Oryctolagus cuniculus: one gene and its partners. The protein of the gene in region 3 interacts with the protein of the main gene of each other region in a pairwise test. Links are inferred from orthologs where the notes say so. Each region holds a gene or a part of one and is shown on either strand. Other genes may lie near its edges.

Region 1 (3,500 bases), on a different chromosome or scaffold from region 3:
TGGTACCATCCAAGGCCCAAGGGCACTCAAAGAAGCCTTGAGGTGCTTACAGCCCAATGGCGTGACAGTCGCGAGATCAAAAGAACTTAAGCACAGTTAGGTCCTAAGTAGGCCCCAAGTTAGGCTAAAGGCCCAGGGGAGGGACATTCCATGGAGAGCTGGTGCCTGAGCTCAGTCTGAGTGCTGCCCCTCTCAATGCTCCAGGGGCCCAAGCCATTGAGGGGCTCGCAGTTGCTGCAGGCCGGCAGCCGCTCGGTGAGCAGTTTGACGTCCCAATTCAGCAGCGCCACGGCCGCGCTCCCGCCGACTCTGAATCTGACCACGCCTGCTCCCGCCTCCCAGGAGGCCAGCCAGTGCCAGCCCAGCCCCGACTTCAGCCATGATCGGCAGCTCAGGTACGGAGCCCACCGTGGTGCAGAGGCCGACCGAGGGGGTGGTTTTCAGCGATTTGACTCAGCTCCCTGCTGCAGATGGACACGGGGTCCAGAGAGATTCTAAAGTCTCTGTAGTTGGATGCAGTGAGGGAAGTGGCAGGAGAGGCCTTGGGGTCCCCACGAGCAGGGAGGATGACGCCCTGAGTTTGTCGACCTCTGAGGAAGCGGGGATGAGCGTTGGCCATAGGTGCTACGGTTTCGGTGCTGATACAATTTCCCATTTCTCTCTTCTGTTCCAAGACTATTGCTGAGCCAGCCCATCCAGCCCATGATGCCTGGGTCTTGTGAGGCGAGGCAGCCCTCAGAGATGGGCAGGACTGGACGGCAAGTCAAGTACGTGGCCCCGGGGAGGAGCGGGGAGGCAGAGAGCTGTGCCGAGTGGCCCCCGCTGGCGGCTCTCCTCTGTCGGGGCCATCAGTGCCTGCTGGGACTCGAGCTGGGAGGCAGGATCCAAGTGTGCTCTTCTTCCCCTGGTTCCCATTAGAGCAGGTCCAACTCCCTGCCGACCTGGGCAAAACAATGCATTATAGCCCAATTTGCTGTCATCTCCTTGGCCAGATCAGAGCCTGGAACCAAGAGCTTCATCCTGGTCTCCCAGTCTCCCGTGTGTGGGTGCAGGGACCCAAGCACTTGGGCTATCTTCCGCTGCTTTCCCAGGCACATTAGCAGGGAGCTGGATCAGAAGTGGAGCAGCCAGGACTCGAACTGGTGCCCATATGGGATGCTGGTGATGCCAACGGAGGCTTACCCTGCTAAGCCAAAGTGCTGGCCCCCAACATCTTCCTTGTATGTCTAAAACCCTGCGCCCTTGGTGACACCCTTGGTGGAGGTAGCCTTCTTCTCCTTCCCGGGAGCCCTCTCGAGCTCCAGGGAACCATTCTGCAGACACACTTGGAGCTTACCTGCCCTGTGGGTGCAGCACGGTGCCCCAGGATCACGAGACCCTACAAATGTAGGAACCTCCTTTCCTGCCAGACACACAGCCTTCTCTCTTTCATTTCCTTGCCTTGGTCTGTTGTCGGCAGCCGTAACGAAACACCTGAGACCAGGTACTCTGTAAGGAACAGACGTTTACTTGGCTCACGGTTTGAAGAGGCTGAGAAGTCCAAGAGCATGGCCCTGGCCTTCTTGCTGCATCCGACCCTGGCAGAAGGCATCCCAGGGCGAGACAGAGGGAGCACGCTAGGCCACGCCTCTTTCCCTCCACTTGTGAAACCAACAAGGCCATCATGGCTTCCTCTAATCATAGTCACATCCAGAGGGCCCACCTCTGAACCTTCCTAACCTATGGCTCTTGGGGCTGAGTTTCCAGCGCATGAACTTTGGGGGACGCATTCAAACCACAGCGCTTCCTCAGCGTCTTCTCGTGTGAACCCCCGGGACCAGAAGCAGCTTGGCTTGCTGCTTACTTACTAGGCAAAAGGCTGCCTGGAGATGCAAGGGCTGGTAGTTTAAAAGTTCCTGGAAGATTCCGGCTGGCGCCGCGGCTCACTAGGCTAATCCTCTGCCTTGCAGCGCCGGCACACCAGGTTCTAGTCCCGGTCGGTCGGGGCGCCGGATTCTGTCCCGGTTGCCCCTCTTCCAGGCCAGCTCTCTGCTGTGGCCAGGGAGTGCAGTGGAGGATGGCCCAAGTGCTTGGGCCCTGCACCCCATGGGAGACCAGGAGAAGCACCTGGCTCCTGGCTTCGGATCAGCGCGATGAGCTGGCCGCAGCGCGCCGGCCGCAGTGGCCATTGGAGAGTGAACCAATGGCAAAGGAAGACCTTTCTCTCTGTCTCTCTCTCTCTCTCTCTCTCTCACTGTCCACTCTGCCTGTCAAAAAAAAAAAAAAAAAAAGTTCCTGGAAGATAGTTTCCAGCCCTTTGAAACAAAGCAGCACAACAACTATTGCTCACTTTTTTTTAATGTTTATTTTGTATTTTCATTGACTCGAAAGGTAGAGTGGCAGAAACAGAAAGAGGTCTTTTATAAACTAATTAATTTTTTAAGGAATACAAACTTCATAAGTACAACGTTAGGAATATAGTAATTCTTCCCACCATACCTGCCCTCCCACCCCTCCTCCTCCTCCCTCTCCCCTTCCCAGTCCCATTCTCCATTAAATTCATTTTCAATTAACTTTGTACACAGAAGACCAACTCTATGCTAAGTAAAGATTTCAACAGTTTGCACACCCACGCTCATACACACACAAAAAAACCTGAGAACTAGTTCTACATTTAACTCTCATAATACAACTCCTTGAGGACAGAGGTCCTGCATGGGGAGTTAGTACATAATGACTCCTGTTGTTAATTTAACAACTGACACTCTTATGTATGATGTCAGTGACCACCCGTGGCTCTTGACATGAACTGCCTAGGCTATGGAAACCTTTTGAGTCCACAAACTCCGCCAGTATTTGGACAAGGCCATAAGCAAAGTGGAAGTTCTCTCCTCTCTTTAAAGAAGAGTATATTCTTCTTTGATGGCTGCTTGAAGGCGAGATCTTAACATCTGCTAAACTCATTCCCTAAAGACCTGTAATAGCCAGAGCAGGGTCAGGCGGAAGCCAGGAGCCAGGAATGCCATCCGGGTTTCCCACATAGGCAGCAGGAGCCCAAGTACTTGAGCCACCCTCCACTGTCTCCCAGGATGCGTGAGGAACTAGATTGACAGAGAGTGACCGGGACTCAAACCATCACTCTGGTATGGAATGTGGGCATTGCAAGCAGCAGCTTAACCCCTTATGCCACGACATCTGCCCCATTTTTTGCATCACCACTGGTTGAACTTGGCATTTGACATTCATTAGGACAGGGCTAGCTGATGAAGCCTGGCACACCCTCCTACAGGGGCCTTGCAGCTGGGCCGTCACACTGGGCATCTTCTGCCTGTGTCCTCCTGCAGCCGACACAGTGACAGCAGATGGTTACTGCATGCATCTCTGAGCGTCAGGGGCCTGTGTGTTCATTATTTTATCTCCCTAAAAACCCTATGATGTAGGGAATCTCTCTCTCTCTCTCTCTCTCTCTCTCTCTCTCATCAGTGAAGAGACTGCCTGTGAAAGGGTTTGGGTTACATTCT
Region 2 (3,500 bases), on a different chromosome or scaffold from region 3:
TAGTTTGCACACACATAATTCTCAAAGCAAGCATTTTTGAGGTCACTGTAGATCAAAAGTCAAGGCAAAGAAAATTAGCACAAAACTGTAAAATCAAAACATTCCAGTTAGCTTCCTTGTTTGTTCTATAATGAGGAATAGCAGGGAAAGAAAAATATTGGTAATATAGATTAGAGAATTTACTTTTCCAATCCTTGCAGTGTTACTGGGGGAAGGGTAAAAAAATTACTAGAGTCACTGGTTTAAAAGATAGGATATTAACAGAGAAAAAACAGTAAACCACTTTCAAAAAAGCAAAACCACTACCAAATAAATCACCAACAAAAACTTAGAAGCTTGGCATAGTGGCCTAGATAAAGGGAGCACACTTAAATACAAATGTACTTTAAAAATGTACTAATATTACACAATTTAAGTTTTAAATTTCTTGATTCAAAAAATAGAGTTAAATAAATGATTATAAATTGACTAAGTTTTTGCTACACATCTTTATATACAATTTTGTACAAGGAAATAAAGGAGATGTAAAAAAAGGCTCAAAATTGGTCCTTAGATAGGGAAAATTTATAATAATGTCAGAAAGGGAGAACATATTTGTAAATCCTGTTACATAAAACCACAATATGATATCATAAAACATAGTATGTTTCACTTTACATAACAGAAATATTACTAAAAAGTTACAATGTTGAAGTAAGGTGAAATGATTTACATTCTAAGATTTATAATATAAATTCACTATTTCTGAGAATTCTTAGGCAAATCTTTTTTGTGACAGAAATGAATACATATAAATATATCTACACGATAACTCCAGAATGCTAAATCTTACAGTTCTCTTAAATCACAGCCTGCTTTAAACATTTAAATGAGTTTAGGTCTATTGTCTTAGCCAGTTTTCAGCATTTCTCCTGTCTGATTATACCATCCTGCTGTCCAAAAGTATGCCTATACTGTGGTGATTAAAAGTTTTATTCACTGAAACACTAGATTATAAATGAATCTGTACAATATACAACATCTGGAGTTCCTTCAAAGACCTGGCTACAGTTCTTAGAACACTTACCTTCATGCCTTCTTCCCAACTGATCCAGAGGTCACCTCGTGTCAGGAAGCAAGCAACTGCGTGTCTGGCTAAATGGTGAATCCACCCTTCCTGACGAAGCTGTGTCATGATGGCATCAATCCACGGAAAGCCTGTTTGACCTTCAGCCCATTTGGCTAATGCCTCAGGATTCTTATCCCAAGGAATCTGAACACAGATGGGGTTTCCCTCCATTTTATCAAAGCGTGGATTATTTGTTGCTGCTGTATAGAAAAACTCACGCCACAATAGCTGCCCATAAAGAGAAAGAGGAGGGGAACTGTTCTTCTTTACCTATGATTAAAAGGCAAAGAAGTATTATCAGCAAGTTTTAAAAATGTATTTTGAAAGGTAAGCACTGATTTTAAAAAGTACCTTTTTGTAGAGATCTGTCAGTTTGAAGTAGAATAGTCTACATGACAAACAGCCAAATCGCAAATAAGGACTGAGCCCAGTGGGGCTTGCAAGCAAGGAATTAGCATTCATTCGAGGTCTTTCAAAGTTTGCCACCCAAGCCTGAAAACACAGAAAGAATCACATTGTCTTTCCCACTTAAACACAGTATTCAAAACAGATTTTTTTTTTAATAAAAGTTTCCCAGTTCTCTGGGAATAATTTATTATCCAAGCCACAAGTTACATATGTTTATTAAACATGAAAGAAAAGTAAGCATTCTTTCATTTCAATTATCATGCAGCACAGACTCATGTGAAACACATAACCTTCAAACTCCCAACACATGCCTGAGATTACCTTCCACTGCCCACTGAGGTTAACAGAGGATTCTATTCTAATTCCAAAATTATGGTCATCGGAAACCAGGTTAAGTAGAAAGATAGGAAATAACCAAGAAAAATAATCAGAAAAGCAGGAGAAAGGGCATTTAAATGAGGTAGTTAATTTTCAAATACTTAGGTTTGTGTAACTTTATTTCCCTGAACTCTTCTTTTTCAACATTCTACTTTTTGTTTTTAAAAGAGAATGAAATTATTTTTAAAATGCCAGCTTGGAAATAAAACATGGCTAGATGATCTAAATTGTCATACTTTTCTTTCCAAATGCCTTTCCAAACGTGTAAGTGCTTCAGTTTCTCCACCAGGCCACACTGCAGAAGATAAGCCATCTGTATCAAAACCTACAAAAAAACAAATAATCAATTTTCTGGAACTAAAACGTTTTTTATTTAATCACAGTTGTGAAAACAATTATTTTGCAGAAAAATTATGAGAACAGCATGAGCGAATTGAGGGCCTGGAGAGATGCTATGACATAGTCTCTGTTCTTTAGGATGTACATCTTAAGGTGATAGCAACAGATATAGAGAGAGCACATAAATAACTACAGAATTATCATTTCTTAGTTTAGCAGTTTTCTTCTTCTTTCTTTCCCCCCTCACCGTTTCCCTTTTAATGTATTAATACTTCATGTGGAAAAATCAGAGGTAAAATTTTATGAGTCATTTATGACTTACAAACTGTTAAGTTCCACATTTATTACAGTTCACACCCACCTAGCTCTTCCAGGGAAGGGACTCCATATTTCTCATCATGGTCATCAGACACAGGAGTTGTGCACTTTTCTATCACCTCTGAAGTAATTGTCTCCACTGGGATCTCTAGAGGTTCCATCTTGCTGATGAGAGTCTGAAATCTTTTATAAGTGAGAGGCGGTTGTCCACCATTGAGTTCTATGATCCTGTTATAAGAGTTAATAAAGAGCAGTTAATATAAGATACATTGGTGTGATGAGCTCTAAAAAAGGCTTAAAATCAGAAAATAATTAATCACATAAGAGTTCTAATAGAATGACAATTTCTTACATGACCAGGAAATGTATTCAAATAGTTAATGAGTCTAAAACACATTTTCTTCATTTTGTAGATATCTGCAAGATGTCAAAAGTATACACTATGCAAATACCATAACCTTTAAGATGAAGAGTACTAACGACTTATGAGTGAAAAAATCAAGCAGCTATAGTAGCCTAAAAACAATAACAAAAACATTTTTTTAAGATTTATTTTATTCCTTTCAAAGGCAGAGTTACAGATAGGGAGAGAAAGAAACAAAGAGGTCTTTCATCCACTGGTTCACTCCCTGAATGGCCACAATGGCTAGGGCTGGGCCAGGCCAAAGCCAGCAGCCAGGAGCTTCTTCCTAGTCTCCTACTTTAATATAGGAGCCCAAGCATTTGAGCCATTCTCTGATGCTTTCCCAGGCACATTAGCAGGAAACTGGATCAGAAGTGGAGCAGCTAAGACTCAAACCAGGACCCATATTGGATGCCTGCATTGCCACCAGTGGCTTAACCCATCACAATGCTGGCCCCTATAACAAAAACTTTAACACATGTGGACATGTGAAAAACATATTACAACCAAGCTCAAGGAATTCTTCAATCATCAATAAAAATTAAA
Region 3 (3,500 bases):
TGGCACCATCTCCCTGGACAGCCAAGGGGCCGGCACTCCACGCCGGAGTCTCACTTCATTCGTGAGTCTGGCACAGTTTCCCGGAGCCTCCGAGAGGACGGCTCCAGGGAGGGAGCGACTGCATCTACACACCTGACCGGGGTCTGCTCTCAGCTGAACGCCAGCGTGAGAGGCAGGAGCCACGGGGCCTGCAGGCAGCCAGCACCTGCCGCAGCTATGGAGCTGCGGGCTGGAGCGAGGCCACCTGCCTGCTCAAGCCCCGGTCCCGCGGGCAGCCATCACCCGTGAGTGCCCTGCAGGGGCCAAGCACGAGAGCCGCACGAGGAGACAGGATGTGACTCCTGCCCTCGGGAGTGAGCAGATACGACAGGGCCTGGCGGGGCAGGGCCCCAGGGGACGAGCAGTGTGGCTGCAGCGACACCCCTGCAGGCATGGATGGGGGAAACTGAGGCAGTGGGAGGGCCTGGATTCCAATGCCTGTCAGAGACAGCTGGGCTGAGACGTGCCCAGGCGCCCTCTGTCCCAGGACAAATGAGATCACTACAGAAGATGGAGTGGGGATGAGCAGGAGCAGGGAGACCTGCCAGAAGTCTGTGTCAGGTCTCCAGGCAGGCGCCGGGCCTAAGCCCACGTCCCAGCAGGCATGTGACAGAAGGGGCCCCTGAGGCAAAGGCACTGGGTCTGGTAGAGATGCCGCCAAGGCAGGGATCGACCCTGGCTTCTCCCTCAGGGCTGCAAACACACCAAACACTAGTTAGAAAGACGGCACAGGCCAGCTTCTTCGGAAAAGACACTCAGATGGGCCTGGACCGTGCGGAGCTCACAGGATCTGCACAAACACTCTGAACAAGATGCACCCTCACTGCTGCGCAGTCGCGGGCCGGGCAGCCGCCAGGGGCTTGAGCAGTGCCTGGGCGTGGCCTGCCTCCCTCTCAGCCCTGCCTGCCTCCCACGCCAGGGCAGGCTCCTGCCAGGTCACGGGGACCAGGCTGGAAGAAGGGGACACCTCCCACTTCAGGCCTTCTCTCCCACACCGCTTACCTTGCCGGTGACACTCGGCAAGATGCCCTATGTCATCTTGGTGAAAATATTCATAACATGACGTGCCTAGGAGTTCCTGCGGCAAATATGCCAAGATAGCCGTGGCCCTGAAAGGGAAGGGGGACACTTTTAACGATGACAAAGTCACGCGGCCGAGTAGTCGCAGCTCTGAGCAGGTGAGCGCACGTCACAGTGGGAGAGGGCTTGCTGTGCGGCTCTTTGGTTTTTGTTTTTTTCCCCAGGTATCTGCATTTAACCAAGGCTATAAGAGAGGAAAGCAAAAGCAAAGAAGCCTTCCAAAGGGGCTGCTCTCACAAGAGATCAGGTTTAGCGGTTTCTAAAGGGGCAGCCGTGTTAATTAGATAGCATTCACTCGTTCACTGGCCTTTTTCTTTTTTCTTTTCTTTTTTGAATCAGAATAACCAAACCAGCTGGTGCCCCAGCAGCTGAGGCCACAGAACATTAAGAAGCGGCCTTTTCTAGCATTTCGTGGCTGTCTCTGGTAGCCAGAAAGTTTTGTAGCCTCTGGCTATCTTTAAGGGAGGCAGCAGGGAGCAGGCATTTAGCACATCTAGGCTCCCATCCCAGGCCTGCTGCCGATGAGCTGAGAATCCTGCAGCAGCCCGGTCCCCAGGCCAGGCCTCAGCTCCTCGTCCACTGAATGAGGCGGCTGGACTAGACCAGTGCTGCCCAACAGAGCTGCATGCTAAAAGTGAGACTGGTGAGCCTGAGGAAGTGGACCCTTCATTCTAATTGATTCAATTAAAACCAACTGGCCACATGAGGCTACCATGGCAATGACTCCCGTGTTAGATAACTCGGGGGGAAGTAACTGTTTCCAGATCCTGTACTCCCCGATTCCAGTCACAGTGTGGGTCCACACAGACAGGGAGCGACCAGTCACAGTGTGGGTCCACACAGACAGGGAGCGACCCCTAGCGTTCCCCTTTCGGCCCCACGCGTCTGTCTCTAAACGCTGACGGCGATGCTGTCCTGGGCCTCATTTCCCAGCGGAGGCCCTCACCACGTCCCACCCGGTCTTTCTTCTCGGACAAGCTAACTGCCGACTCAGCCTCCCCTGCTCCTCAGCTCTGGGCTGCAACCCCTCTACCACCCTGGCCTCGAGGGAACGAGACGACCCTTACCTCTGGTCTACGAAAACAAACTTCCCGTCTATGGCGTGCCGAGAAACGTACTCCATGGACTTCACTCTGATTTCCCCGTTCACTGGCTGTGGAACCACGTGAGAGTGCAGCCGTCCGATGGCCACGAGGCAGCTGAGGTTACACCCCTCGTTGTCTGGTTCGTTGTCTTCGTCCAGCCCCATCTTGGTGGGTGGCCAGCTTTTCAAATACCCTGTGCTGTGGATTGTGCAGAAGCTTTTTCGATCTGCTAGAAAATAAAGTCCATGGTTAGTGTCAGGGCTGGCTTTGGGTCATGGAGGCCTAGCCAGCTGATGGCGGGGTGGGATGTAGGTAGGGAGTCAAAAAATTCAAAACCAAGGCCCCACTCTCTAGAACTGAGCACCTATGCAAGAAGCAGAAGAAGGGGCCCGGTGCTGTGGCACGGTAGGTTAACCCCTCGCCTGTGATGCCGACATTCCATAGGGGCGCCAGTTCAAGATCTGGCACTCCACCTCTGATCCGGCTTCCTGCTAATGCACCTGGGAAGGCAGTGGGGCCCCCTGAACCCATGTGGGAGACCCAGAAGAGGCTCTGGGCCCTTGGCTTCAGCATGGCCCAGCCCTGGCCATTTGCAGCCATTTGGGGAGTGAACCAGCAGACAGACAAATCTGTCTCTCTTTCCCTCTCTTTGTCACTCTTTCTTTCAAATAAATAATAAAAAAAAAATCTTAAAAAAGAGAGGCAGAAAGAAAAATAAGACAACCATCATTCATCGCCATATGCCTGGTAGAACCAGCTATACCAAAGGCATCATATATGCCAAGGAAGGAATATCTAAGTCTACCTGGGAATAGGAAGACACTCCAGAAAAGCCAGTGTGGGACAATCAAGAAAAATGAGCAGGGAGCAGACATTCGGCCTGGCAGCTAAGACACCTGTATCCAACAGTGGAGCCCCTGGGTCCAGTTCCCAGCTCCTGACTCCAGCTTCCTGCTAATGCAGACCACAGAGGGCAGCAGTGTGGGTCCCTGCCACCCACGTGGGAGATTTGGACTGAGTTCCTGGCTTCAGGTTCAGCTCCAGCCTGGCCCCAACCATTGTGGGCATGTGAGGAGTGAGCCAGTGGATGAGAGTGCACTCTTTCCCTTTCTCTGCCTCTCAAATAAATAAATAAGGGTGGACAGTGGCTAAGGGACCAGAACGTGTCAAGGCAGAGACTGTCCAGAGACACACAGGCACATCCTACACAAGGAACAGCAGGCACTGTGTGTGCCTGAGGTGAAGTGGGGGAAGCTCCCAGGGAGAAGAGGCAGGAAGGCAGGTTGGGGCAGACTG

What was found. The genes of interacting proteins can lie anywhere in the genome.
Region 1: the proteins of BMAL1 (region 3) and NPAS2 interact in binary tests that used the Homo sapiens proteins (3 or more experiments, as listed by UniProt). The link is inferred for Oryctolagus cuniculus from reciprocal best matches to the Homo sapiens genes BMAL1 and NPAS2.
Region 2: the proteins of BMAL1 (region 3) and CRY1 interact in a two-hybrid assay, tested with the Homo sapiens proteins (3 studies listed by BioGRID, with this or other methods). The link is inferred for Oryctolagus cuniculus from reciprocal best matches to the Homo sapiens genes BMAL1 and CRY1.

What each region holds. Positions count from the first base shown.
Region 1 is NC_091433.1:107,597,020-107,600,519, reverse strand, and holds part of NPAS2 (neuronal PAS domain-containing protein 2), read left to right. Parts: intron 1-204; coding exon 205-395; intron 396-674; coding exon 675-767; intron 768-3,500. UniProt on the Homo sapiens protein: Transcriptional activator which forms a core component of the circadian clock.
Region 2 is NC_091442.1:109,558,288-109,561,787, forward strand, and holds part of CRY1 (cryptochrome-1), read right to left. Parts: intron 2,780-3,500; coding exon 2,595-2,779; intron 2,220-2,594; coding exon 2,131-2,219; intron 1,601-2,130; coding exon 1,460-1,600; intron 1,379-1,459; coding exon 1,067-1,378; intron 1-1,066.
Region 3 is NC_091432.1:52,832,565-52,836,064, forward strand, and holds part of BMAL1 (basic helix-loop-helix ARNT-like protein 1), read right to left. Parts: intron 2,434-3,500; coding exon 2,187-2,433; intron 1,149-2,186; coding exon 1,042-1,148; intron 1-1,041. UniProt on the Homo sapiens protein: Transcriptional activator which forms a core component of the circadian clock.